Caenorhabditis elegans: one gene and its partner. The protein of the gene in region 2 purifies or fractionates together with the protein of the main gene of each other region. This does not show direct contact. Each region holds a gene or a part of one and is shown on either strand. Other genes may lie near its edges.

What was found.
Region 1: the proteins of ddr-2 (region 2) and shc-1 purify together in Caenorhabditis elegans (affinity purification with western blotting, with the first as the bait; one study listed by BioGRID). This does not show direct contact.

Annotation. Positions count from the first base shown.
Region 1 is NC_003279.8:962,984-979,059, forward strand, and holds shc-1 (SHC-transforming protein homolog 1), read right to left. Parts: upstream 10,151-16,076; 5' UTR 10,070-10,150; coding exon 10,004-10,069; intron 9,955-10,003; coding exon 9,884-9,954; exon of another isoform or gene 9,738-9,883; coding exon 9,665-9,737; intron 9,104-9,664; exon of another isoform or gene 8,968-9,103; coding exon 8,477-8,967; intron 7,001-8,476; coding exon 6,910-7,000; intron 6,856-6,909; coding exon 6,697-6,855; 3' UTR 6,350-6,696; coding exon of another isoform or gene 6,254-6,349; 3' UTR 6,105-6,253; downstream 1-6,104. Other genes in the region: cutl-20 (ZP domain-containing protein), read right to left, coding at 730-1,069, 1,131-1,213, 3,493-3,615, 3,664-3,750, 3,796-3,940, 5,252-5,334, 5,380-5,505, 6,254-6,349. UniProt on the Caenorhabditis elegans protein: Scaffold protein which plays an important role in the activation of the JNK pathway composed of mlk-1, mek-1 and kgb-1; by bringing together mek-1 and mlk-1, promotes mlk-1-mediated phosphorylation and activation of mek-1 which in turn phosphorylates kgb-1.
Region 2 is NC_003284.9:3,308,481-3,322,905, forward strand, and holds the start of ddr-2 (Discoidin domain-containing receptor tyrosine kinase B), read left to right. Parts: upstream 1-6,833; 5' UTR 6,834-6,866; coding exon 6,867-6,933; intron 6,934-6,973; exon of another isoform or gene 6,974-7,253; intron 7,254-8,575; exon of another isoform or gene 8,576-9,375; coding exon 9,376-9,481; intron 9,482-9,803; exon of another isoform or gene 9,804-10,123; intron 10,124-10,697; coding exon 10,698-10,795; intron 10,796-10,844; coding exon 10,845-10,978; intron 10,979-11,521; exon of another isoform or gene 11,522-11,801; intron 11,802-12,547; coding exon 12,548-12,695; intron 12,696-12,804; coding exon 12,805-13,094; intron 13,095-13,138; coding exon 13,139-13,451; intron 13,452-13,504; coding exon 13,505-13,772; intron 13,773-13,991; coding exon 13,992-14,063; intron 14,064-14,111; coding exon 14,112-14,338; intron 14,339-14,387; coding exon 14,388-14,425. UniProt on the Caenorhabditis elegans protein: Tyrosine-protein kinase receptor which, together with ddr-1, is involved in axon guidance to establish the tracts for the ventral and dorsal nerve cords during nervous system development.

The DNA of each region.
Region 1 (16,076 bases), on a different chromosome or scaffold from region 2:
TTTGTAATTTTCTCAATTTTCAGAAGTCTGCAAATTCAATTTGAAATTTCGAATAGCTTTAAAAAACTCAAACAGTTGGCACAAATTTTCGTAGATTCATGTAGAATTTCAGCCTTTTTCAGCAAATCAAACAGTTTTTTATTTTTTTTTGTATTTTTTCAGAAATTGTTCTCACCCTCCAAAGTACTATCACGTCCTAACAGTAATATTAGCCTACCGTATCACTACAGTAATCCTCCAGTACTTCTGTGCATGCTACAGTACCCTTGCATCACCATAGTGGTGATCCTTTAAACCTACAGTACTTCTACAGTAGCACTACAGTACCACTTCAACAGAATCTTTCCAGTAATATCAGCGTATCGTACCACTACCGTAATCCTACAGTACCGCCACAATACTATTACCGTAACACTATGAAAATCTTACAATACACTACAGTATACAGAAACTACAGTAACCCCCTTGAAGTTGGTGTAAAACTTGCAAATGTCTACCGTAATCCTACAGTACCCCAATACAGTACCGCCGCAATACAGTTGGCATAACACTATGAAATCTTACAGTACACTACAGTATGCAAAAACTACAGTAACCCCCTTGAAGTTGGTGTAAAACTTGCAAATGTTCAACTTTCTACAAATTTGCCATTAACTTGTAAGTTGGGGGAGCGCATCGAAGTGTATACATATATGTACATGCCAACCAATTATTTTCTCAAACAATTTATTAATAGTCGAAGACACCTGAAGCAACGATTAGGAGGAAGAAGAGGAAGGAGAGATTGGCAGAAGAAGAAGAAGAAGACGAATTAGTTGAAGAATCTGTTGAAACGGAAGACGTTGTTTGTGATGTCTCTAGCCGTGCGACAGCTTCCCGTTTCAGACGGAACGATGTTCGCACGGCGATCGGTGGCGAGATGTCGGACACGTCGATTGTCGACGAGAAGGGATCAGAGACGGTTGAAGAATGCTGAGGAGGAGGATTATGTCGACGTTCCCGTCCACGACACGCGGCCTGGGTACACGTGACACAGACGTGAAGGTTACAGAAGATGTTCACCTCGTTGCTGGAATAATAGTCGTTGAGAGGTGGGTGGTGAACATGAACAAAGAACTTAAGAGGCTTACCTCGTTGGGAATGCCCAGGCCTTTATGTGGTTGTAGAAGATGGTCTTACCATTGCGTCGAGTCACTTCAAAGTCTCCCCACACCTGGAACAATTTTCTATGGAAGTCTCAAATAATATGCAGTTGGTCGATGCACCATGATGAATTTTGTGCCAAACATGGTGCATCGACGCTAAATAATTTTCTTTTGAAATTTAAAGATGTTTTGCTAGACTTTCCCTAAACATCTTTTTAGTTTTCCAATGTTCTCTAATATCATCATGGTGCATCGAGAAAAAATGTTATAGGAGGAGTAAAGAAATTTGAGACTTTACTTTTTTAGACCAAAAATGACCCAAAACTACCGAATTGTTTAGTAAGACGTTTTGAAAATTTTTCAAAACAAAGTTATGGCGGTTCAAAGTTCTGGAAAATAGCATATTTTCAGCTAAAATCTAATGTTTTGGGGGCTGGGGGAGGAATAAAAATGTAATTTTTTTTGTGCCCCACTGCCCGAAAATGCACTTTAATCGACGAATAAACGGCTTATAAAGGGCCACAATATTTATAAAAGAGTGATATTATAGTTATAAATAAAAATTGAGTTCCCGACCGAGAAAAAAATTGGCGAAAATTTTGATTTTAGCTGAAAATGGGACTTTTTTTCCAAAACTTTGAGCGGCCATAACTCTTTTTTGAGAATTTTTCAAAACGTCTCATTTAGAAATTCGGTAGTTTTGGGTCATTTTTGATCTAAAAAAGTAAAGTCTCAGATTTTGATACTTTCTCGATGCACCATGATGAAGAGAAAAAAAGAGAAAATTTAGAAAAAAAAAAAAAGAACCCTTCCGATGTTTTGGGAAAGTTTAGCAAAACAATAGATTTGTAAAAAATTCAATTTCATTAGGTTCCTATTAAATTCTCAATTTTTATCAATGCACCATACATTTTCAGCGTGAAATTTTGTAAAATGCACAGGAATGAAAATTGATCAGGTGTGTATAAAATAAGAAATTGAAGCATTTTGTTTTTTTTTTTGTCGATACACCATGATGAATTTCACGTCAAACATGGTGCATCCTGGAAAGGAGAGAGTTTTAAAAATGTATCATTTTTTTCTCGATGCACCATGAAGATTTATATTAGTAGAACTTAAACCGCACTTAGCATAAGTGGCATAAAAATAAAGGTGGAGTAGCGCCAGTGGGGATTTTGTCTAAATACACTTATTATGATCCAAAACGATCGAATATCTTAATGAAACACTCCAAAATATTTAAGATTTTTCAAAATTTCCGGTCAAAGTTTTGGCAAATTGCCAAAATATTGAAAAAAAATATGAGCTTTTGAGGAAATCCAAAGCAATGTCGCGTGTTTCGACCCACACAATGTTTTTATACAATGTAGAAAAAAATTTTTTTTTGGTCGACTTTTAAAATTATGAGTGGCAAAAACTGAGTAATTGCCAATTTGACAGTAAATAAAAAATTTTCAAAAACATTTTGAAAAGTTTTATTATGATATTCGATTATTCTGGCACCATTTGAGTGGTTTGTAGTAATTTCCCCACTGGCGCTACTCCACCTTTAAAATTAAAAAAAAAATCATAATGGGTATTTAATATCAATGAAAATTATCGATTTTTCCAAATGTATCAAAATGAGTGTTCAGCGCGAAATTTTGTGCAGGACTTTTTCTTTCAATAATATATCCCGAATGATGCATTAGTTATGGGCTACACGATTTTTAGAAAAGCACCTGGCCATGCTTAAAGGTGGAGAACCGAAATTTGATACTCTGTCTTTTTAGATCCAAAACGGTCCAAGACTACCAATATTCGTATTAACCTGTTCTGAAAAATTTTCAAAAAAAAAAGTTATGGCCGTTCAAAGTTTTGGAAAAATGGTCGATTTTTAGCTAAAATCTCAAATTTTGGCAACTTTTCAATGTCACAGCTGGAGCTTAATTTTAGAAACAACACGTGATAAATTGCAAAAACATGCATAAAAATATGTTCCAACCGCTCCGACACTAAAAAGGTGCCAAAATTTGAGATTTTAGCTAAAAATCGACCATTTTTCCAAAACTTTGAGAGGTCATAATAACTTTTTTTTTTGAAAAATTTTCAGAACGTCTTAATACGAAATTTGGTAGTTTTTGGACCATTTTGGGTCTAAAAAGGCAAAGTATCAAATTTTGGTACTCCACTCACTATCGAAGCAGAGCCCCAAAAGTTTGACCGACCCAATTTTGTAAGTTTCTTCGATGCACCATGATGATTTTGAGCAAAATGTTAGTTTTTTTTTTTGAAAAACTGGTGGCAGGACCCAGTTTTCGGCAGTTTTAAATGTCGATGCACTATGTTTTTTTTAATGAAACCGTACCTCCCCAGAAGTCTGCAAAGAGCATCCGTGTGAGTCCGACAGTGGTAGCTCGGATATCCCGTCATTCGCCCAACACCTTCCGATTCGTCCATTCTGATCATCGCTCATTTCAACTGTGTACGTCTACAATTTACAAATAGTTTCTTTTGATTTATGGAGTTCCTGACTTACAACTCTATCACCAACTGCTAACGGACGTTGTAGCTGCTTTGAATCCAAACTGTCGCCGTCTAGAACACGAACTCGGTAGTCGACTGTCTGAAACATTATATGGGTCTCGCAGCGATAATTTTGAAGCCTTACCTTATTATCCGATAGGCTGCTTGCTGTGGTGGCATCCGAGTTGATAGTGATTCCACCAAATGATACGGTCACCTGAGATTCTTTAGGAACAGGGGCAGCAGGTATACAGGTCAGAAGGAATCGTTTGTCGGTTTCTGCATTGAATCTTAAAAAAAAACGATGAGGAAGTTATTTTTTATTTTTGTCTATTTTTGTTCGTATATGGTTTTTTAGGTACCATGGAATAAAAAAAATGCTCCTAAAAAAATTAGTTTCAATAACAAATATTACTGGTACAGAGAGTGTAGATAGTTAGAGAGTGACTGACATCCGGGACCCAATGGGGCGGGGCGCGCGGAAGAGACGATTCGTGTCGATTTACGAAATGATGACAACGAGGAAAATTTCGTAAATCGACACAAATCGTCTCTTCCGCGCGCCCCGCCCCATTGGGTCCCGGATGTCTGTCACTCTCTAACTATCTACACTCTCTGTACCGGTAATACCATAATATGATCATCATTCTACATTAGAAAAAAATCGATCTGAAATCACAGATTTTTGGCCTCCCTCATAAATTGAAATGGAAGAGGTTGCCAAACTAGGCCATTTTGGCTCGGCCATATCTGGGGTAGATTTACGGCGCGTTGCGTGTCGCGTCGCGGCTCGATTTTAGTTGTAAAACTAAATGTAGTTGGCCGTGTGGAGTACACGACTTTCCCACGCGTTGCCCGACGGGCGATTGCCAATGGAGCGCGAGAATCTCAATGAGGAAGGCCATGGCGCGCCAGAACCCCATGATTTTTAGGGTATTTCGAGGTTGGCAAATATTCTGGAATCTTTTTGCAAAATGTTTTTTTTTTTTTGAAAAAAAAATTCCAAAAAATATCCTGATCGATGAAAATTGTTGGGTGAAAAAAGTTGCAGATTTTAGGAGAAATTTGAGAAATTAGAAAAATTAGAAATTAGGAGAAATCAGAAAATTTCCAAACTGCTTTCAGAATACTTGTATATATTGAAATAGCCTAAAAATCATGAAATTTTTCAAAAATCTCTAAACTAGCCTCCAAATTTGGTAGTAAAAATTCACTGGCAGCAACTTCAGAGCGAGATTTTTCTAGTTTAAAGTGCTCGTATGTCGCTGAATTTTTTGTAGGTACCTATTTGAAAGCTCTTTTTTCAAAATTCAAAAATTTAATTTTCAAGTTTAAATTTTGAGTAGCGCCAGTGGGGGATTTTGTCTAAATACACTTATTATGATCCAAAACTACCTGAGTAATTGCCACTTTTTGACAGTAAATAAAACATTTACAAAAAAAAAAAGTTTTATTATGATATTCGGTCACTTTGGGACCAAATGAATGGTTTTTCATAATTTCCCCACTGGCGCTACTCCACCTTTAAAACTGAGCGGAAATACTTTCCTTGTGAGCATAGCGGCAAAAAACCTAGTACCACATGGCAAAAAAAAACCCACTCATTGTTAGCCATGACAACTTCGATCTCATTCTCCAAATTGCCTTCTCCGTTCTCCTTGGTCGAGCAGCCAGTCAGCGGAATCTAAGCAAATAATGCCCAAAAATTCAATACATTCAATAGGCAAACCTTCAACTGATATTTGGTGTCCGATTGAAGCGTGCCATTTGCATAGATACACTTTGGATGGCCCGCGCGACTTTGTATCGTGCCACGGAAGTTTTCGTCAAACTTGATTTTCAATAGGAAATCTGTCTGCAATATTGAAGACGTTTTTTTCCTTTTGGGTGGTGACCTTCAAGGTTTTGGCCTGGGTTTTTAATCTTCCATTAAATGCCCTTCAAATTCGCTTTTTCGAGAGTTTAAGAGAGTTTCTAGGCCGAGGAACTTCTTGCAGCCAAATTTCTAAACTATTGTGTTTTTGCCAAAAACAATGAAACATTTTAGGTCATTTGTGACGTCATATTTTTTCCATGCAACTTTTTATTGGCTCCACACATCTTCCAAAAAGCCTAAGCCTGAGCCTAATCCAATGTCTAAGCTTAAGCCTAAGGTTCAGCCTAAGCCTACGCCTAAGCCCAAACCAAAGCCTAAGCCTAAGCCTAAGCTCAAGCCTAAGCCTAAGCCTAAAAAAAACCGGAAAATCCTAAGCCTAAATAGCGTCAGTAGCAAGCTAACGCTCGCCACTGACGCCAAACCTAAGTCTCGGCTTAAGCCAAAGCCTAAGCCTAAGCCTAAACCCATGATTAAGCCCAATCCTAAGCCTACGCCTAAGCTTGAACCTAAGCCTAAGCCTAAGCCTAAGCCTAAACCCAAGCCTAAAATTTCTAGGCCACCACTAATATTTTCAAAACTCGATTCTCAAATACTTCATTTTTTCAGGATATGAAAGTAGGACAGAAATGGGCAGGGTATATGGTATGGAGCAAATATCACAAGATGGCAGAAACATAGATACGGGGTGGGAGTGTTGGACTAGGTGACTTTTCTAGGCCATCCCTACCTTATCACACGCAATAGAAGTGTCCACAATGGCCACCGATCGAATCAGCGGTGGCAGCACCACAACCACCGACCAAATGATCCAGTGCAGAATCATAAATTTGTGGAGGGAAAAATCGATAACAGTAGTGAGGGTAATAGTAGTAATAATACAAATATATATGGAAAAATGAATACAAAAAGATGTGTGCGCTGGTTGGGGTGGTGGCGTAAGAATACAGGTGGGTGGGGGGTATAATTGGAGCGTGGCCGAGGAGGAGAATCGCAAAAAAAAGAAGGAAAGAAAGAGGATAGTAATGACATGTTACGGTAGAAGGACAACTACCTAATTATATGAAAGAGGGGGGGGGGGCGACGAGAAGAGGAAAAAGTCTTACGCAATTTGCTACTCGACTTTCAATTTCTGCTAGAAATCGAAAAAAAAATAGGAAACAAATTCCGACTCTATTCGATATCATCACTTCCGGGGCACGGCACAGGTCGGATCAGATTCAACGACGTCTCGCGATCCCGACCCTCTGATCTTACGGCCATCCCATTGTTCACATGATAGTCGATGAGCTCGGAGATGTTGCTGAACGTGCGATCGCGGGTTCGGACTCTCTGGAATTTTGAGAGGTTTGAAGGTTTGGCGGGGGGGGGGGGGGAGGGTCTTACGTTGTGATTGTCCAGTAGGATGAGATGTTTGTGCTCGTTTTCAGCGGTTCGGCCACTCAGCACGTACTTGCCGGGCGTGTGGTCGCTTTGTCTGCAAGGAACTGGACAAGTTTGAGCGGCCGACAGCTTGCGGGTCTTTTTTTAGAGAAGGGGGACTGTGAGGTGTCCGCTGCTTCAGACAATCTTAGCATCATGCAAACCTTGCATCTTTTGTATTTCAGGAAAAAAAACGCAGAATTTTTTTTGAACAAAAATTTCAGCCTAAAACAAAAATCTAAAAAAATTTTGGGAGGATGAACTTATTATACCAAATTTTTCCCTGGTCTTTCAAGAATTATTTAAAGTCCCGTGGCTTCTGAACATATTATCAAACAAATTACAGATATGAAATGTGACTGAAGCTTTAAGTCAGAAATATATAAAAAAAGGATTTTTCATACTATTTTTTCAGTCAAATTTGATTTTTTTAGACTTTCAGATTTTTCTACGAAGTCTGTTAAAATAGGCTTATATTAAAAAGCTATCCGATTTACTATTAGTAAAAAATTATAGCGACCGACATCTCGCAGGTTGTTAAAGAAAGGTGCATTGACCGGCTCACGCAACTTTGGCAGTTTATATCTCGGCTGGTTTTGGTTTTATTTAAAAAATTTCAATTGACGAAATATTTATCACTTTTTCTACTAAAAGTTTGCAGTTGAACACTTTTTGCTAGCAGCGATATTAACCGAGATATTAGCGGAAAAAGTTACATGAGAAACATGGTGCATCGACAAGAAATATCTCACAAAACTTTGGCAGGTTATATCTCGGCTGGTTGTGGTTTTATTAAAAAATTGTTAATTAACAAAATGTTTATCCTTTTTTCTACTACAACTTTGCAGTTCAACACTTTTTGCTAGCAGCGATATAAACTGAGATATGATTGGAAAAAGTTACATGAGAAACATGGTGCATCGACAAGAAATATCTCACAAAACTTTGGCAGGTTATATCTCGGCTGGTTGTGGTTTTATTGAAAAATTGTTAATTGACAAAATATTTATCCTTTTTTCTTCTACAACTTTGCAGATGAACACTTTTTGCTAGCAGCGATATAAACCGAGATATGATTGGAAAAAGTTACATGGAAGACATGATGCATTGATCAGCTATCATAGCTCATATTTTACTTATCTCAGGTTTTACCAAAAAATTGCCAATTATTAAAACATTAGCCTTTTTCTTCGAAAATCAAATTTTGCCCGAATTGCCGAAAATATAGATTTGATATTTTTTTGTAGATTTAGGAGCCTAAACATTTTTTAATTTTTTAAGTATTGACCGTTTGCTTTTAAAAATGACTAATCGAATACTGAAAACACAGTTAACTTTTTTTTCAATTTTCGAATTATAATTAGGTTTGAAAATTGCCGAAAATGTCGGCATTCAGTTGGAATTTTGGCAATTGCCGAAAATTTCCGATTCCCACGCGCCCCTGGTGTGAACCTAGTGAGCATGAAGCCAAACGTTTTAGAAATTCAGCAAAATTCTAGCTTTTTTCTATAAAAAATCTAAAAAACCTTACCGAACCAAAAAATCGCCTTCCGTCTTCAACAAAGCCTGTGCATCCTCTCTGGATAAATTTCCATGATACCAAACTTTCCCCACAACATCCTCAGTTACAGTAGGTGCTCGGCAATTCGACACAAATGACTGTCGATGCAGGGAACTTCGATGTCTCATCGGCGGCGCCGGCACCGTAAATCCATCGTTAGAAGTTGAAGCATTCGCCTGTGCATCAAAAGTGTTCACATTGATCGCAGTGGTAAGGACGTCGATGAGCTTGTGCACATCCTCGATGAACACCACGTGGCATCGACGATCCGTTCCATCCTTGTTTTTTGCAATGTAGCCGAACATTAGCTCCGTGTCCGTACCCTTTTGGCCTTGGGCTCCGAATGAGAAGAATGAGAAGGGATGACGTTGAATTAGACGACTTTGTTTTATGATTTTGATCATTTTCGAGGAAATGTTGATGTCTACGGGGAAGTTTTCTTTTTTCACTTCACCGATTACCTGAAAATAAGGATGGTTTACCTGGGCTTTTTCATCGACCCGTGAAGTGTCGGCTGCAATAATTTTAGTCGAAATTAGTGATAATAACTTTTCTATGAATAGCGGCTGACATCATTTAGCGCGATTTTTGATCGACCTGTAAGATGTCGGTTGCTTTAGTACATTCTATAGTGGCAGGCTTTTGGCTGAATTTTACTGGATATATAAGCTATCAAAATTTGAGCATGTCGATGCACCATGTAATTATCTCAGTTTATTTCGCTGCTATCAAAAAGTGTTAAAATGCAAAGTTGTAGTAGAAAAAACGATAAATATTTTGTCAATTGACACTTTTTCAAAAAAAAACCAAAACCAGCAGAGATATAAGTAGTCAAAGTTGAGTCAGATATTTCCAGTCGATGCACCATGTAACCTTTCTCTAATAACCTGTGAGATGTCGGTTGCTATAATTTTTTAGTCATTAATTTGGACAGCTTGTTAATTTGAAATAATTCTTGATGATATCGTAGCGCGGCCGACATTTCACGGGTCCTTTTTTTTAAACATTTTGCAAAGCTGGTCATGCATTTTTGGTAACACTTAATATCAAATTAATGAGAAAATGTTTTGTAAATTTTTACCATTAGCCATGCCCAGAAAATGGCAAGTTTTTTATTTTATTTTCTTTTGTTTTTTTAATTCACAAAAAAAAACTCACCCTACTAACAACTGGATTGATTTCTCGAGCCGCAGTCACGCCAACAGTAGCTGCAACGTGTTGTATACATTCTCTGAAAATTGAACAGTTACTTTATTACGTAGATTTTTTATATATTTGAGCTTGCAGATGTTACCTGCCTTCATGCCTGCCTACCGCCTGATTTCTAAATTTTTGAATAAGATTTTTTTTTGATTTTAAGCCATAAGAAAAACTAACGAAACAACTTGAACTCTCATCTCGGAAACCATCACGTTAATTGACTCGACTACTGGAACACTTCCGAGGTACTGAAAGACAATTTTATATTTTCGGGGAAAAAACTAATAAAAAACTCACAGTAGCCGACAGAGAAACCCCGCTGCTCCGCAGCTCCTCTGCAAATGAGGGCTCCACGTTGAGCATCGCCGCAAGTTGATTTTTCGACGGAATTTTTGATTATTTTTAGAAAAAATCTAACTCGAAATTCGTTACAACCGAAATTTTGCAAGATTGAGTGAATGAGGAATGACCGGGAGAGAAACGGAGACGCAGGCGGTGAGCGGAGTGGGAGAGAGAGCGCGCGAGACGGAGAGGCGCAGGCAGTGGTAGGGAGGAGACAGGGAAAGATTAGATTGGTGTTGACTGGGTGAGTCAGCATTCTAATAAGTTAAGTTGACTCATAACTTTGTTTTTTGATCAGAGGGGGGGGGGGGGGGCCGTGGCCTAGAAATATCATTGCCTACTTATTACGTCACTAATGGTCTAGGAAACCTTGATAGCTTTTTTGGAGAAGATATGACGTCATTGGTGGACTAGAAATCTTATTTTAGTTCTGGAAGAGAAATATTTTGACCGTGGAAGACAAATTAATGATGTGACCGGTGGCCTAGAAGTTTCAAATTATACCTGGGGAAATAAATGACGCCACTGGTGGCCTAGAAAACTTAAACTATGCCTGAAGACGTCACCGGTGACCTAGAAATTTAATTCTGGCGACGTCATAGAAATTTGAATTTTGATGAGAAATATAATTTTATTGGTTTTCTGAAAATTGAATTTTATTGATTTTTTGGCAACCGGGAAATTGGAAAATTTAATAAATTGAACAAATGCAATAAAATAAGCAGTTTTTCAACAGTCATTACTTTTTTCCGTGAACCGTTTTGATTTTAATTTGTAAATCTAGGTCGGAAAAGTCACACACACCGAGGAGCTAGGCTTCCCTCATCCTCCCTGGATCAGTCGGTAACTGCTTCGACTGGGGAGTGGGAGTGGGAGGGGTGGGATGAGTTCAATTCTTCTGGAATTCCATAATTTTTATTTTTGTTTTTTTGCGCCTACATATACCTGTGAAAATTGGAACTCGACACAAAAACCTCTCTAGCGCGGCTTAAATTTACTTCAATTCTTCCGGAATTCCATAATTTTTATTTTTGTTTTTTTGCGCCTACATATACCTGTGAAAATTGGAACTCGACACAAAAACCTCTCTAGCGCGGCTTAAATTTACTTCAATTCTTCCGGAATTCCATAATTTTTATTTTTGTTTTTTTGCGCCTACATATACCTGTGAAAATTGGAACTCGACACAAAAACCTCTCTAGCGCGGCTTAAATTTACTTTCCTGTCCCAAAAACTCATCTATAATATTTTTAAAAAATCTAGAATCCAAATCTATCAGATTTTTTTGAATTTTTGATTTTTTTCACATCGAGATTCGGAATCAGCGGAAAATTTGGAGTCAATTAAAAATATTTTCCAGATTTCGATACTCCACATTTAAAGGAGATCACCTGAAACGCCAGAATATGATACTTCATACTCTCCATCTTCTCGCTTTTGAAAATAATCAAAAAAAATAGTCGCCGTATTTATTGATATAGAAAAAATACCAACAAAATTGTAACTATTGATTAGCCATACAGGGTCTTTAAAGTCAACATTCATAGTGGGAGCTGGAAATAAAAATATATAATAACTTGTTAAAAGAATTTATTGTGGAGTTATAACACCTATAGACAATTAAAATCACCTGCTGCCTAAAGAGTATTTACCAGAAGCAAAGGTTTTCTGAATTTAGTGGAGTTTGTCCATTTACTTTTTTGCATGTTATTGAATTGAAATGATACATAGTGAAACTAGAGGTAAAATTATTTACTAGGTTTAGGCTTAGGCTCAGGATTAGGCTTAAGCTTAGGCTTAGTTTTAGGTTTAAGCTTAGGCTTAGAATTACCGATAACTGATAACTTTTGCAAATTTAGTTTCTGTAATATCGGCAATAGCCAAAATTGCCGGAAATTTCTGCGATTCGAATAAATAAATTGAAATAAAAATTAGTTCCTAAGATACATGTTATCTTTTTGCAGGAAAGTAGTAAACTCATGAAATGAGAAATTGCGATGAGGAAGGAAACATTCCTATGGTTCCTTAGACAATTTCTCACCTTACATTAGTATATAATATATAAATGATGAATTTGACTTTTTGAAATTCTCTTCAATAAATACATTTAGTTGTTTTTTTTTTAATGAGTAAAGTTGCAGAGTGTGGAATTTGCTATGAGGAATATGGTGAATATTGTTGGAAATTTTTCTGAAAGTTTTCATTTTTTTTGGAAATTTAGAGAGTTGGGTGTAATTACTGAAAATTATGTTTTAAAAAAATTATTTTAATGATTTTTCAAATTTTACAAAAAACTCATTTTTAAATCATTAGAGGTGAAGTAGCGCCAGTGGGAAGATTGTTAAGATCCACTCCTTTAATCCGAAAAGTACCGAATATCATAATAAAACTTTTCAAAAGTTTTTAGAAACTTTTTTATTTACTGTCAAAAAGTGACAACCACTCAGTTTTTGCCACTCATAATTTTGGAAGTCGACCAAAAAAAAAATTTGTTTTCCTACATTTTTTATACTTCAATTTTGTTTTAATTATTTGTATTGAAAAATTGTAGGGGTCGAAACATGCGACAATCCTGTCAGTTTTCAAAAATCTCTACTTACAAAATATAGGACACGCTCCAAAAATGGATGTTTTTACAGACAACGCCATCCGAATCCCTTGCATCGGCACATGCGGTCATACGTTATGTGACAGTTGTCGTGAGAAAATTAGAGATAAAAAATGTCCTCAGTGTAATCAGAAAGGCGCATTTGTTGTGAAAAATGTGAATAAACAATTTTGGGATTTAATTGTTTTTTCGCAATTTTTAAAACCCCAGGAAGTGGAAGTTGAGGAGACTGAAGAGGTTGGTTAGAACTTTTTTTTTGGATTTTTCGGTATTTCCGGGAGGTTATCCTTTGGGCCTAAAACTAGGCCTAAGAGTAGGCCTAAGCCTAAGCCTAAAACTAAGCCTTAGCCTAAAACTAAGCATGAGCCTGAGCCTAAGCCTAAGTCAAGCCTAAGCCTAAGTCTGCTGCTATCAAAAAGTGTTAAAATGCAAAGTTGTAGTAGAAAAAACGATAAATATTTTGTCAATTGACACTTTTTCAAAAAAAAACCAAAACCAGCAGAGATATAAGTAGTCAAAGTTGAGTCAGATATTTCCGGTCGATGCACCATGTAACCTTTCTCTAACAACCTGTGAGATGTCGGTTGCTATAATTTTTTAGTCATTAATTTGGACAGCTTGTTAATTTGAAATAATTCTTGAAGATATCGTAGCGCGGCCGACATTTCACGGGTCCTTTTTTTTTAACATTTTGCAAAGCTGGTCATGCATTTTTGGTAACACTTAATATCAAATTAATGAGAAAATGTTTTGTAAATTTTTACCATTAGCCATGCCCAGAAAATGGCAAGTTTTTTATTTTATTTTCTTTTGTTTTTTTAATTCACAAAAAAAAACTCACCCTACTAACAACTGGATTGATTTCTCGAGCCGCAGTCACGCCAACAGTAGCTGCAACGTGTTGTATACATTCTCTGAAAATTGAACAGTTACTTTATTACGTAGATTTTTTATATATTTGAGCTTGCGATTGTGTAATCAAAAATAAACATTTGAAGCATGATACGAAATATTTGAACGATTTTTTTTCGGAAAATCAATAAATGAAAATGGAGTTTTTTTTTTGGATTTTAGCAAACTTCCCAAATGACGGAAAGATCATATGAAGCGATTATTTTTTCTTTTATAAACCTGTTCAGGATTTGCATTATTATGAGAAAATCCTAGGCCAATTAGGCTAGCATGTACGGAAGTATTTTTTAAAAATTTATAAAAGTAATGAAAAGCTGATATTTTCAAAATTCCAGAATGACGGAAAAATCATATGAAATGCTTTTTTTTTCTTTTTTAAACCTATTTAGAATTGTCAAAACTACCAGAAAATACTAAACAAAATAGCTTAGCTTGACCGGAAATATTTTTAAAAAATTGATAAAAATAATGAAAAGCTGATATTTTCAAAATTCCAGAATGACGGAAAAATCATATGAAGCGATTCTTTTTTCTTTTATAAACCTCTTTAGAATTGTCAAAACTACCAGAAAATACTAAACAAAGTAGGTTAGCTTAACCGGAAGTAATTTTTACAAATTGATAAAAATAATAAAAAGATGATTTTTTCAAAATTCCAAAATGACTGAAAAATCATATGAAGCGATTCGTTTTTCTTTCATAAAATAGTTTAGAATTGGAATAATGATCAGAAAATACTAAACAAAGTAGGTTAGCTTGACCGGAAGTATTTTTAAAAAATTGATTAAAAAAACTGATTTTTAAAAAATTCCAGAATGACGGAAAAATCATATGAAGCGATTCTTTTTTCTTTTATAAAGTAGTTCAGAATTAGCATTATTATGAGAAAATCCTAGGCGAATAAGGCTAGCATGTACGAAAGTATTATTTAAAAATTTATAAAAGTAATGAAAAGCTGATTTTTTAAAAATTCCAGAATGACGGAAAAATCATATGAAGCGATTCTTTTTTCTTTTATAAACCTGTTCAGAATTGTCAAAACTATTAGAAAATACTGAACAAAATAGGTTAGTCCTAGGAAAGACTAGTTAGGAAAGAATTCTTAAAATAGGAAGTTGAACAGAAAATCTGGAAGATCTGAAATCTGGAAAAAGGAACTCTCAAAAATTCAAATTTTGATTTTAGGAATATATGGCTGTGTAGTCTTCATAGACAATCAAAATAAATTATTTTAATTTTCAACCATCTTTATGCACGGGCTTCTGTCCTTCCTCATTGAATTTTTCGCGCTCCATTGACAATCGCCTGCCGGACAACGCGTGGGAAAGTCGTGTACTGCACACGGACAAATACATTTAGTTTTACAACTGAAATCGAGCCGCGACGCGACACGCAACGCGCCGTAAATCTACCCCAGATAAAGCCGAGCGAAATGACCTAGTTCGGCAAACTCTTCCATTTCAATTTATGAGGAAAGCCAGAAACCCGTTTTTATGTAAAAGTTCATACTGTGCAGTTAATTTAAACAAATCAAAATTTGGAAAATGATTTTTGGCTTTGTGCAAACTGTAGCGTTTTAGGCGTTAAAAATCTGCCAATGAATAAAAAATTTCTTATAAAATTTTTAAAAAAACAGTTATTTGCCCATTCCGTTTTTCAACATTTATCAATTACGGTTCCAGTGATCAAATGCTTACACGGAAGTCACTGATGACGTTGACTCCATGTTTGGTTGCGATGTGAAAAAGGTCGTTTTTTGCCCAAATCGAGAAAGGTCACACACACACATAGACATACACAAAACCTTATATAATTTGTAAGATATTTTGTTTGATTCGAGAAAAAAAAGAGAACAGGTATTCCTGCGGCGTCGTTTTTCTAAACGGCAGGAAAAATTGAGAGAAAGAAAGAGAAAGAAAAAAGATGGAAAAAAACAGTTTAAATATAATTATTAGGTTTAATTATTAGGGGTGCACCATATTGTCGTAGGGGCCCTTCTCCAAAGTTTTAAGTTTATCGATAGAGCGTGAATACATAAAGAGAGAAATTTGACCTGCAAAAAAAATATATGGTTGGTTCCCATGCCATAAAAAATCCATGCAACAAATGAAAACAACACCTGCCAAGTGTCCTCCGCCAGTCTAACCAAGTTTTTCCCTCCAAATGTTCCGTGACATTGTTGTTTAAGGCTTTGTACTTTCCGCAGCCGTCTTATTCTTCCCGAAGTGTTCTCCCTAGATAATCGGGTTTTTTTGTTGAATCGGCTGGGGGTAATGATCGGAGAAGATATATATGAAATAAATGAATAAAAAAGGAACACCTTTTGGAGAGGCAATGAAAAAGCAAGCTATGCAAAGTATTGATCCGTTGTTATGAATGGGCTTGCTTAGGCTTAGGTTTTTTTTAGGTTTAGGCTTAGGCTTAGGCTTAGGCTTAAGCTTAGGCTTAGGCTTAGGCTTAGGCTTAGGCTCAGGTTTAGGCTTAGGCTTAGGCTTAGGCTAAATCTAG
Region 2 (14,425 bases):
CATTATGTTTCATTTCGCTCCAAAACTATGTGCGCCCGCACTATTTCCCGGAGAAGAAGCCGAGAGACATATACACATTGAGCGCGCCAGGGGCCTCCCATCATTTTATATCCAACGTCTCACACTTGTTCCTTCATTGCCGTATGTTTATCAAAAAAAAAAAGCGGCGTCGCCGGGGGCTATCAATCTCAATTCATCTCTTTCATCACTACAACATCCATTATTCTTCCACGTTTTCTAATTTTTACCGGCGCTGCGGAAATATTTGATGGACTTTCTGATTGTGACAGCTAGCAAATGAGCCAGAGGAAATAGAACATCTGAAATATTTTCGAAACTGCCTAGTTTTTGCATGATCAAATATGGACTACGCTCGGTGGGGAAATGATTGAAAATCAATGCTAAAATTACCGAAAATCATAATAAAATTAAAAGTGTTTATTTTTTGATTTGAGTCAAAAAGCGGTTAAAACTAAGTTTCCACCAATTTCCAGTTTTTTTGGAAGTCGTCGATATTTTTTAATTATGCTTAAAATATGCATATTTAAATTTTTTTTGGAAATGGCCAAGCTCAGTTTTCACCACTTTTTGACACGGTATAGAGTCTTTTCTAAAAAATTTTGAAAAGCTTTGCTATAACGATTTGTCATTTCGGCATCATATGCATAGATTTTACCGTTTTCCCATTGGCCGTGGTCCACTTTCAAAAAATGTGGAATAAGCTTTTAACATTCAACAAGAATTCCTTCCAAGGAATGCCACGAATTTTTTCCACAAATTATGCGAATATGATCGTAAAACGTTCAATAAAAGCCGACTACAAAAGGTCGTGTCAGATCTGAAAGAGGAGCAGAAAAGAGGCTCCCACGATCAAGAATGCACCTCCTCGCTCGGCTCACCCGGTTTTAATGCATTCGTATTTTTGTGCCCCCCTTCAGAGTTTACTCTCTTGTTTTCTCGCCTCACTTGCCTTCATTTTATTTATTTTGTTCAGTTCGCCCAAAATTTCTTTGTCCTTACGTTAGTGCCATTAGTGTATTTTCAATCGGTTGGTGAAAGGTAGCAATTGCCAGTTTCCCAGGTAATAAACATCGCACCTTCACGCTATTTCTTGTTGATAACGATTTACCGAACCCTTTTTCAAAATGTTTGAATTCATGGTGAATGGTTTGAATATTCAGTTAGTGACTTTTGTCAACCGCAACATTGTTCCAATCTCATATCCTATTCAATGTGATGTTCTTTATCTGGCAGCCCGTTTGCCTCCTGAATAATTCACAAACGCAATTTCAATATCTATCACGTATTTCCTTCCTCTCTCTCTTCTAAGATTTTAAATCTGTTCCTCTTCCCGTTTTCTGATTGTTGTTGGAGGAACAGATTGCATCCAGTTGTAATCTGTCAGTCAATTTTTGTAACAAGTTCCTAACCTAGTAATATGACACCTTCCAATAGACATGCCAATGTGCTAATCCTTCTGGTGTGGGGTCAGTTTGGTAGGTCAATCATATCACATTTCGCATTTTTCTCACTTTCTTGTTAATTAACAACTTGTTGAAGGAGATCAAGTAGAATAAAGTACCATAATAGGTGTCAAAGGAGTTTGAAATGAGATATTGCAAAAGTATACAACAGTTTACCGCAACTTATTTGACATCCATACAGTAATAGAAAAGTGTGTTATATTACTGTTCAAATATAAGACACATAGGTAACATAATTTTCTTTATCCACCACTCGCAGAACAAACGTATTTAATACGTATTTCTTGAATTTTGACATACGTGTTACTAATTTTAATACAGAGTATTTTCTATATTACTATTGCATACAATACTATTCTTCTATTTGAGACTTTTAGATGCAACGTTACTACGATTGCAGGAGTGCTTAGAACTATACTTTAGAACTTAAGGTAAAATGGAACATTTTTCATTCCCCAATATAATAACTAATCATAAGTTGTTGTAAGATTTATAGACTTTGGCAACTGAACATTAAAATTCCAATAAACGTATAGTCCAAATATTGCATTTGCTGTCAGAATATTTCAATTGCCATACTTATTTTTAAAGAAGAGCTAGAAATGCAATATCTTTTTAAGCTGCTCATTGTTTAAAATATAAACTAATGAATTTTCCTTTCTCAAATCTTTTCCGACAAGCCAACAACATATTCCACCTTGAAGGTCATCATATCCACACTTATCTCGAAAACATAACCAGGCCAACGTGCCTCGACACCATCAACATACGCGTGGTAGACAAGACAAGGGGGGCCAAGAAATCGGTGGGCCGAATCTATCGGCGTTCACGGTGTGGTGTGACTAATTGATGGTTGTTAGTACGGGAGTAGTAGTACATGAGATGTCGACGGCGGATAACCAGACGAAGGACCTACTCGAGGTCGTGTCCGGTTGTTCACAGTCTCTTTTCCTCACCTTTCATCCCTTTTCCAATTTAATGAGCCTTCTAATTATGTGCCATCAGACTCGGAGTATAATTATAACCTTTAAGACATGGCAGTGAATACAGTTTGGTTAGAACTTAGACTTTCCGCATGTTTTTCGTGTATCGGTGTGTACCAAATTAGAAAGAAATGCTTATTATGGATGCTCATCAGTTTTAATTGAGAAATACAGAAAAAATATGTTGATTTTAAAGTATTCGAAAATCAAAAAACTTAGTTAAGAGAATCTCAAAAACTGAAAGTTATTATTTCGATGATTTTGATGAATTTTAAATTTTCAAAAGCGGAATAAAAATATACAAGAATTCAAAAAATTGGCAGTCATGAATACATACCTTCCGTACATGCAAAAAAGTTGTTAGATTGGTTTTTATTTTGTCCTAAAGGTGATCTGAAAATCCTTTCGTATGGGGCTAAAGTGAGTGGTCAAATGGTTAATAAAACTATTCAAAAAACTGTGAAAAATTTTTATTTCGATAAAAACATAAAACTAATAAATATTTTTTTAGTTTTATGTTTTAATTGGGTTCAAAAAATTTATATTACACTATCGAACATTGTGTTACTAAATGTGATAGCTGGCGCAAGTTCGGGTTTAACCATTTTTTGAATCGAAACAAAAACATTTTCAAAAACTGTTTAAAAGTTTTATTATGATAATTTGTAATCTTAACGGTATGAAAATAAGTTTTAATCATTTTCGCACTGCCCGTATTTTATCTTTTTTTGTAAAAAATTTAAAAAAAATTAATTTCTAACTTTGAAAGCGTAATTATTATACCAAAATTTACAGTCCCGTAGATTTTCTGCACACCCCTCTGGTTGATATTTTCATACCTTAAGAAAAGTAATAAAACTTGTCATTTCGCTGGCTGTTATGACAATGCATGTTTGACTTTAGCCAAAAATTAATCAACAAGCTACCTATGCCACCAAAATGTATTGTCGGTGTTTCTTTTTGCCGTTTGCGGTAAACCGAATAACATGCATGCAAATATTAGTTTACCGTTGGCGATGAAAGGTCGCAGAGCCCTAATTCGTACTGACAGCCGTGTGAGGCGAGTAGGGGACCCACTGATTTATTGCTCTCCGCCAAAAGTTTTATTACCTCCTTTTCGTCTTGCCAAATTCCACTAAATTGCACTGGAAAACCCAGCGGCTCAAGAATCAGCTGCTCACCCTGGAGCTCCTGGAGTATCTCAAGAGGTTGTGAGTCAAGCTTTTGCAATGGTCGCAAGCAGCCGCCAGTCCCTTTTTTTTCGTTGTTCTGCCGTTTTAATTAATGATCTGATCGGGCGGGTGTTAAAGAACAGAAGAACGGCTGATCGATTGCTCACGGCGCAGGGCACACACTTGAAGAGTATATTTTTTTCTTTTTGTTCTAAGCTTTTCTGCTGGAAATGAAAGAAGATTGATGAGTCGAATAAACAAGCCATTTCCCCCAGTTGTTGCAAGTATTCCTGTTTGTTTTTCAACTACAAATTATAACCCATTATTACTGTGTACTTGAAATTGTTATCAAAACGCGGTGAAAGTAACAAAGGAACTGTTTGCATTTGTAGAACACGCCATAATTTCTTTCATAAACATTTGACCTCCATTAGTGTTACATAACTTTCCAGGAACCACGGCGTTACATTTTCATATAAAAGGAATAGAAAAATAAAAGCCGAAAGCGTGAAAACAAAGAAAAGCCTTTGAAGATTTAAAGTTCAAGGAATTCTGTCGGCGCTTTTTTTTTGGTTGCCTGTTCCGGTAGCCATGATCTCGTTCCGTTTTTCACATTACACTACCTCACACGCACATTTATTTCTCGCCTTTTCACCTTTTTCACCTTCTCACCTACATTACGTCTTTCTGTTTCACCACTTTTTGTGCGAATTCTCAAATAGTCTCATAAAAGTGCGAAATCATTACCATGGTCATGCTCATTGCGTTCTTCGTTCGAGACGCGCATTCAACGTGGCCACTCTTTGTCTCTAATTACACACAGCCTTCCTGGAAGGTCGTTTTTAAATGAACGTACTTCTAGCGTGATATGTTATTCGGTTAGTGTCTGTTCAGTTTCGTATGTTCGCAATTTCAATGGTCTTTAACGGTCGATTTGTCAGAATTTCCGGCGGGTGGTACGAGTCAACAGTGGTGATTGACTGCTACTGCAAGGAATTGAACAGAGAGTCGAACGAAAACTTTGATCAATTTTTTTTGTCTGCCCTGTTTGTGAAATCAGAAAATCATTAAATCTAACAATGACTCATGTAAAATGAGCATTTTCACAAAAAAAGTGCACTATTAGAAAACTGATATAACTTTTTTTTAAAGTTTAGATAGATTGGAGAAACTGTATATTTTTTAGTTTTGTTAGTTAGGAAATGTTTTCTCACAATTTTCATTATTGATTTAGTTGTAAAAAAAATTTAAAATGCCGGAAAAGTGTCACCGGAGAAAAATACTGAAAAAAGTCATAGTAAGAAGTTTCTTAAAAAATTGTTATTTTGTTTGAAAAAAGTGATAATTGTTTAGTTTTGGTCATTTTTTATGAACGCCGTGAATCAAAAAAAATGTTGTTTTTCGAATTTTTAAGTGTACTTACATTATAATGAATTTAATTTTTTTGTTGAAACTTCAGTACTGTATTTTTTTAAAGAGGCAAAACTCAATAATTGCCACTTTTTGACTGTCATTAAAAATGTTTAAAAATTGCTTTGAAAAGTTTTATTATGGAATTTGGTAATTTTGGCACTATCTTCGGATAAAATATTTGATTTTAGAATTTAGAAATTCTAGACCTCTTTTTCAAATTTACGATTCCTATTTAAAAATGACTTCCTAAGAATCTTGTTCCCACTAGGGATCTTATATTTTCGTTTTTCGTTTTTTAAATGCTATACTTCTCAGAGGTACTAATTCCCACTGAACCTGCCTCAGGCAGTTAATTTTTCGTCGTCCTCCTCCAATTTTTTAATACCCATTTCTTCTGATCGTAGAACATCTGTCTTGGATGCTTGGGCAGGGATGTTCTCATTGAAAAGCGATAAAACTTTCAAGACACTGTTCAATTTACAGAACATTCGCTACTTCCTCTTCAACACCTGTCTTTTCGCTTCTGATGAGGTACCACCACCGCCGATCCACACAGACCGCCACCCCTCCCGCCAAGACTCCGCCCCTCTATTCTTCATTGCTATGCTTGCGCGAAGGCTGCCCTCTTCCCCCCCCCACCACTTTCTGGCCACCCACTTTTCCTTGGTGCAAAAACCATAGCTTTGTACAGTTTGAGTGAGTTCAATGCTTCTGAATCGTCTTCTTTCGAACTTTTTTCTCCAGCTTCTTGATGGGTTAATGTGCAATGCAATGAAGCACATGTACATAGTACTCTCTTTCTTCCACACATATGGTTTACGTTTCCTATGTGTCCCTCTCCTTGATGCAATCTCTTAGCAGCCTTCACTCTATACATGATTTTTAATATATATCTTTCTTACAAAACTTGTTTCTTTTCTTCTCCCAATTTTTTTCCATTTTCTTTGCTCTGAGTCACGGTGTTACTAGAGAAGTCATCTGCCAAAAACTCATATTGCGGTTGGTCCTCACACCTATTCTCTACCTATTCATCGTAGAAGCCCAATTGGTTTTCTCATTACTTCACACCCTCATCTACCGCGAGTACAACGTTCGCTTTTTCATTTCTCCATTTTTTAGAGTACCGAAAGTGTCATTGGTGGTATAAATTGCTCTTTTGAATTTCTGGGAATAGTCAGGAGCAACAGCTCCCATCAACCACCACGGTACGATCCATTAAATTAACATATAGTGCAGCTTGAAATTGAAATTGAGTGAAGTGGTAATTGATGAGAGGGTGTGTGCAAATTGAAAAAGGAGGCACAACACGCCAGAAAAAGAGCAAGACCACCAACTACATTTTTCTAGCTTCCTCTCGCATTTTTTTTTTCACGCGCATCTTGACAAGCTTATCTGTTCTTGGTCTTCAACTATTGACCCCATCTATCCGTTTTCCATGTTTCATTTCTTCCAATTTTTTTTTGTTGCTCTTCTCCTTTTCCAACTTTCACACCCACCAACCTCGTTGCTTTCGGCTTTTGCAACTTACTAGTTAATTCCAACTTTTTTCTTCTTCTCACTCCATATATTCTAATATAAATATGAAAGCCGCCGAGATGAGTATAATAACGCGCTCTTCCTGAATAGCTTCCCGCAAAAGAGCGGATATTTGAGCATCTGCCCCCAGGCCCTCTTCACACTTCTCTATTTCATTTTGGGCCTGTCAAATTGAATTTCGTACGTTGTTGTTCCTTCTAGACTTTGACCACTTTTTTCAATTTCCTCATATGCTTTTTTGGCTTTTTTCAGAGTCTCCGACGCTCATCTATGTCAGGATGAAGTTGCTGCTGTATCTATTCGGTGTCACATTTCATAGCAACACAGTAGTCGCATTGGAATTAAGTAAGTGTACGGTCAATTGACTTTCCTTCTTCTAAATATGGCAATATTGCAAAAAAGTGTCCGTTTTGGGAAAGTGGCCAAGAAAAGAGGAGGGGACGATTGTTAGAAATGCATCATATTTTTGTCACCAGTTGCACTCTAAACTCCTAAACTAGTACACTTTTTTCTCTTCTCCTCCTCGCCCATTAGCTCTCATCACGTTTTGGTGGCTTACACGCCGGAATTTATGGGAGGCAAAAGGAAACGACATGATGATGAAAAGGGTATGCAGTTAAGAAGGTGAAACCGACAAACGGAAAAAAACGTTTTGGGGACAACCTAACTTTTTTTTGAGATACCATCAGTTTGCGCGAAATTGTGAATAGTCAGCGGCAGGAGATGATATCAAAAGGCATAAAAGGAGTGGGTTAGTTTTGAATCGGACACTTGCAGTGACATAAAGATGGTCACAAGTGGATAGTGATGAATTATAGGCCGGGTTGTTTCTATGACAATATGATCAAAATCTCGAGATAAAAATAATGCATAAAAATAATGCTATTTCAAATATCAACCAGATCTCGACCCCTCGCAATAGTCAAAAAGTCACTAAACCTCTTCAGAAAATTGATGACACCGATTAGGGGCAGGTGCATGTGTAATTGCCGTAATCGCAATCGATCCGTATTCTTGAGCATTGAGCGTAAAATCTGAATAGCTTTGCATTGCGCAATGTGACAAAGAAGTGTTTGTGTGTGTGGGTGTTGGGTGACAGGAGGTAGAATATAGTATTCAATTTATTGCCTTTCATTTTCGATGCTCACAACTCACATGCGTATAAATCACAACACAGTGTTGCTGCTCCGAGGGCTACTTTCACTAGATTTTTGATATTTTGAGAGGGGTGTATGATGACGATGATTCGATTTGTTAGTAGACTAGTGGGAAAAAATGTCGTTGAAAAACGAAAACCAATTTCTTGTGGTCCCGAAAACTCATCATTTGGGTCTTTCCTATGACAGCTGCTTGTCGTTCAATTGCTAAATAACACATCATAACATTGTTCTTTTAGTCGTCCTTATCATTTCTCTCGTTTTTGAAAACAAGATGCACAGAAATCTGCCAGCTTCTCCACAATGTTTTGTAAGATTTTGGGGGATAATATATAATCAAAAGCGGATGGGGGTGACAGTTTTGTCGGGCCGGTTCCCCTCGCTTCCGGAGATGCGCAACTGTTGCAATGCACAAAGATGCCGACGAGAGGTTCCTGCTCACAAAGTGCCACAATGATCGATTGCTTACAGTTTATACCAAACACTCTTTGACAACTTGCTGGCGAGTATCTGGTCGAGCCTATCAAATAAAAAAGAGCCGAAAATGTCGCTGTAAAAAAAACTTAATTGTATGTATTGCGTGGCCAACTTGATTGGCCAGGTTGACATTTTGCACACCTACCTGACTCATTCAACTAAAAGCTTTTGCTTTTTGTTTCGATTTCTTAGGTTTTTTATTAGGTGTGTGTTTTCTTCCAATACCCAAAAAAGAAGAAGACAGTTGCATTATCGTAATCCGTTTTGTTATCGTTTGCATGATTAACGAGATTGCGCAACTTGACATGGCGGCGCACATCACAGAGATTAGTAGCCATGCGCAATTTCTATGGAAACTGACCTGGAGAACGTGCGAAAGGTCACAACACTGGTCCATTAGAGCACTACTCGGAGAAGAGGATATCAACAACATTTGTCATCGTATTTCTCACCTTTCAACCTCACAAATAACAAAACAATTGTTTATCTTACACTACCAGAATGATAAAACGTCTCGAGAGTGTTGCTAGTTACTGGTTGTAAATCATCGCTTGTGGTGTCCTACAACATAAACCTGGTGCGCGAGAAGGTCGTGTGCACAATCTCCATTTTTATTGCTAATTTATGTCTTGACGCACAGACGTCAGGTACTCAATTCTTGCAAATCCATAATGTGACCATAAAAATTGTGCTGCTGTTTGGGTTGTAAAAGACAGGTATAATTATCCGGAATTATCCGCTGGCAACAAAGATAATCGTAAAATATTATTCTGCGGAGGTCTTCGCCTTTTTGGAAATAGATTTAGATTTTCAATTCGACGTGAAACATGCGAAAATTGTGGTTGTACGCGGCAACTCATATGATTAGAAAGCATTGGTTTGATTTGGTGAGCTCAAAAAATTCAATTGAGGATGCCAGCAGACCCGGGTCCTATTTGCTCTTTTTAGGCACATCTCTCGGTAGCCTTGTTGACCGCATATCAGATTAGGCATTGTCGGAAAAAGGATGAGAATACATAATGTCAACAAACGGGGCTACATGACAAAGCATACAATGATAAGTACACTAAACCAAAAAATAAAGGCGGCTGAAATATGATAGGGTGCTCTTAAACTCTTTCAACTCTTTTCCAATTAATAAATTATGTTTCAGGAGAATGCAGTCACCAATTGGGAATGTCAAATCGAAAGATTCGTGATGAGCAAATCTCGGCGTCTTCGAGTTTCGACTTGCAAAGCACTGGACCTCAACATGCTCGGTAAGTGGTTTGGGAACTACTCATTTGAAATTCGTACTACGTTTGAATCCCTTGAAACTTTAATGCAAATTTCCACGGACTTGATAGAAACATAGAAAATTTGAATTACTTTCTCTCTGCCAATCCTTTTAGCATTTTCTCACGAGTTATTTGAATTGTGGGGACCGTTCAAATTTGAAATACACTACACAAAAAATTAGTTGGCATCTTGCTTAATTATAGCGAGCTGACTGTCAACAGGAAGAGAGCTATTGTGTTAGCCTAATAATTAGTCTCTTCCCTAATTACGGTATCCGCTTTCACATCGTTTTGTATAGTGTTGTGACCCCACCCAGGAGAATTCACGCGTTCCCAAAGGCGGCTTTACAAGATGGTTAGAGGGGGGATTACTGCTCTTTGCAAGTTCACGCGTTCGCCAAACTCATTGAAATTGAAATTGAGAGCGCATTGGCATGGCACATCTAATTTGGACAAGCTTCTGACGGGGGAACGTGATGCTTCATCAGTAGCATACGTTAACGCCTCAACAAGCGATTTATCTAGTTTGATTGTTTTGACAGGCCGCATGCGGTGCTGGGGGCTTTCCATTGCTTCACTTCCTAATTGCAATGTGTTGCATTGCGTAGATAAAATCTTGATTAGGAGCTCATCTGGAGAATGAGAGGAGAAGGAAGATGGAATGGAAATTGAGAGCCACACAACGAGAAATTGCAATATACAATAGTATAAATATAAAATAACATACTTTTTATCACTTAAAGGTGAACTACGGTCAGTAGAGAAATATTCCTAATCTTCTAAAATATCCAAATAACTTATTTTTTGTGTAGAATATTTTTATTTTCAGTCAAAAAGCGGTAAAAAACGGTTATTTTAAAAACCTCTAATTGTGAATACTGTCGCATGCATAAACCCCTACTGTCTTGAGATAGGAATTTTCCAAATAAAATTAAACATAAAACTGAATGGAACATATTTTTTTCTTGATTTACGATGTCCAAAAAATGGGTGAAAACTGAGTTTTCACCGCTTTTTGACTTGAAATGAAATTTCCAATATTTTTTGAAAAGTTTTATTACAAGATTGGAAGCACCATAGGAATGTTTTTTGTCTACCTACAAGTCTCAAATTTAATACATTTAAACATTTATCGTTATGTATTGTTTTCACATGGGAATGAATTTTATATTTTAATATTCCAATTCAATTTTTTCAGAGCTCATCAAGAATCTGGAAGTGGTGCCTGGTGTCCGAAGAATCAAATAAACTCTCTCAGCAAAGAATGGTTGCAGATTTCGTTTTCCGTGGATACAGGTTTCGAGCAGAATCTAGAAAATTCTAACAAAAAGCCCAATTTTTTCAGTAATAACTTCTGTGGAGACCCAGGGACGATTTGACGACGGACGTGGAATGGAGTATGCGACCGCATTCAAAATTCAGTACTGGCGACCTTCGCTAAACGCATGGGCATCTTATAAAGACGATTTTGAGCTAGAGGTTCGTCCTTTTCATTCAGAATGACCGCTAATTATGGTATCGGCACTCTTTGGAAAGCGCACCGTTATATTTATGCGCTTAACGCCATTAGCCCCAAATATCTGAGATATGTGAATCACAAAAAGAACCTTGCGAAGAGAACAATAGAAATCTAGCTATGACTTTTGACACACCATTTTGACACACCATTCATACTGTCACTATACGAGCAACGGTGGGGGGAAGAAAGACGGGACACGATTTGAATAGAATACAATACAAAAACGCGTTATTCGAGATTTATTACAAGGTCTTCTGCCCCACAATTCGTTGTGTCCGTTTTCGGAGATATCATGAGATTCTATTGAGATTCAAATTTTTATCCATGTACATCCTGTGCTTGGTTATTTTTTTGATGGGAAAAGTGTCGTTGTTCCGTTCTTTTTTTAGTTTGTGTTTTTTTTCTGTTCTTAGAATGAAAAGAAAAAAAACGGAAAAGACTGATCGACAATTGACACGCTATACATGTTCAATTACATTGTGCATTTTTCCTGCAAAAGTGGCTCACTCGACTACCATACCACATTAGAAACCACTAGTGGCTTTTTAGTAAATTAGCTGAAATTTTGTTCAAATACATAGAGGAAACACTTGACACTGGGGCATTGTACGAAGACACGAATTAAGTATTGTCGTAAAATGCGGTACAGTGAATTGAAGAGGGGGGCACTGAGTGACAATGCATCTGCCAGCCACTTGTCGAGACGTGTGTATGATCGGCTCAAGATCATATCGACACATATGTCGCCAGCCATGCTATTCTGCATAACAGGAATTTGAACATGAACATCGGGCACCACAAAACGCATAAAAAACCGTCGGTGATGAGTCTATATCTAAGAAAAGGCTTTCCGAACCGGTCAGTTAATAGAATAGCCTTTAGTTAGGGGTCAATCCAAAAATGGGTAGGCGGCGTGGCTTTCAAGTAACTGCCAGTTAATCCTCTTATGCTCCGGTGACTTTTTGCTTCAGTAATCCTTGGCGGAATAAAAGTGTTATGCGGATAACCGTTCGTCGCAGGATTACCTAATAGACTATTTGGGAATAAATAAGAATAAATTGTAGTGAATAATGAATTGAGGCAGTTTATTTTTTGTATATTTTTTTTGTTGATATTTTTGCAAATTGTTCAAATGATTATAACTTCGAATGAATTAATAAAATACTGCTCAAAACTATATTAACTTGTGTTTGCATGTATTAGGAATTCACTAAATTCATGGGAAAAAATAAAGCGTTCGACATCTCATAAGTCTTGTTTTGATGATGATAAATAAAACGACTATAACTCAAAAACTACATTTAATAAAAAGTTTGTGAAAGTCACATTTGTTTGAAAAATTTGCAAAATTAAAAAAAAAACTCATTGGCCAGCACTGTAAATGAACATCACTTTTGCTCTATTGAAACAAAATTCCATGTTTTATACCTTCTGAGAAATCTAACGCCATGAAAAATTCAAAAAAATTTTGTTGTCATTTTACAGGTGTTGATTTTAGTGTTTCATCCAATTTATCGTTAATTTTTCAGACAATTCCTGCTAATAATGACACGGAGCACGCAATCCGGCGACATCTTGACCGGGCAATCATAGCAAGAAGAATCAGAATTGTTCCAGTTTCAAATTCCACCAGAACTGTTTGCATGAGAGTTGAAGTTTTCGGATGCCCATTTGATGGTTTGTACTTTTTTCGTTTCTAGATAGTTTATGAATCATGTTTTATAAAGTTTTTTCTTTGTTTCCTAGACATTCCTTTATGAAATTTAGCAATTACATTCATTTTCAGATAGTCTCGTGTTTTACAATGTCGATCAAGGCGATTTGCAATCTGGCATCTCTTATCACGACTTTTCCTACGATGGTAATCTCGCCAACTCTCCACACTTAACCGGCGGTATTGGGAAGTTATACGACGGCGAAGTGGGAAAAAACAATGTATTTGTTAATCACCACAAATGGGTTGGATGGAGACGTAAAAGAAATGGCAATGTGAAGTTGGCATTTGAGTTTTCCGAATTGAGAAATATATCAGGGATTTTGATTCATACGTCGAACGAGTTCAAAAAGAGCGCAAAGGTAGTCATCAATTTGTGAATAATATTTTAATAATTATGCTTAAGGCATTTTCCTCGGCTACTGTGCTATTTTCGATAAATGGAAAAGACTTCTCAGACACCATCGTACACTTCAATAATCCGGAAGATACCGAATCAGAGGTACCTCGATGGATAAGGATTCCAGTGAACAATCGGATTGCCAAAGTTGCAAAGATTCGTCTTAACTTTGGAACTGACTCCGACTGGCTGTTCATTTCTGAAGTGAATTTTGAATCAAATCACACAAATATTGAGCTTCTCAATGATGACGTGGTTATTCCCGATTCGGTTTCATATTTCTCCGTAACCGAGCACGATGACGGAACTAGCATGTTTGGTAAGAAGATTCTAATATCTATATTTCTTTAACCGCATATCTTATATTTCCAGCTTTCATTATCTTCTTCTTCATGTTCCTCATCGTGGCAGTCATTATTCTGACAGTTCTCTACCGTAAACGCGAGTATCGTGTGAAAGCATCGTCTCCATCTCCAAATGCGAAACGGGAAATTCTGTTGACAATTGACGGAAACACCATCAAGCATCACGTTTCTCCGTCAACCTATCAAATGGCTCGCGATAATCTTCAGAATGCGTTGATTGAGAAAATGCCCATGTCACCGATTATAAGCGATTACGCTGAACCGGACATTAGTGTGTAAGTTGTTTTTTGCTTGCCTATGCTAATGGAAGTGTGAATAGGCATGGGAAACATGCCGATGAATTAATCACATATTTTGATTCGAAATAGGATGAACACTATTGAAACTAAACATATACCCACACACAGTAGCATTCTCGCGCACAATAAAACTGAAAGGGCAAACACAATAAATGCCTGGTGAGCAATTGACATTTCAATTGTTTAAATTTACAGTTGCTCCGATGTCACCGCCAACACTCCATTGCTCTATGGAATTGATGGTCCATATGATACACAGAAGAGAAGGTGCGTTGAGCCAACAAAAAATATATCACACAATGCTCAAAGTTGCAGCAACCCTTTGTCATCTATGGTAAAATACTCCGATTATGGAGAGGTTTATTGCACAACACTTCCGGAAATTGCTCGAGACAAGTTGATTTGCGTGAGCAGAATTGGGCAAGGAGAGTTTGGTGAAGTCGATTTGTGTCAGCTTGAAAACCGAAAAGTTGCGGTCAAAAAACTTCATGGAATCAGTCAAGCCGACGAGTTTTCTTTTCATAGAGAAATTCGAGTATTAGGTAAAAAACTTTCTTTTAGAGCGTGTTATGTACATGACAACAGTTTCAGGAAGTCTCAAACATCCGAACGTAGTTGAAGTCGTCGGA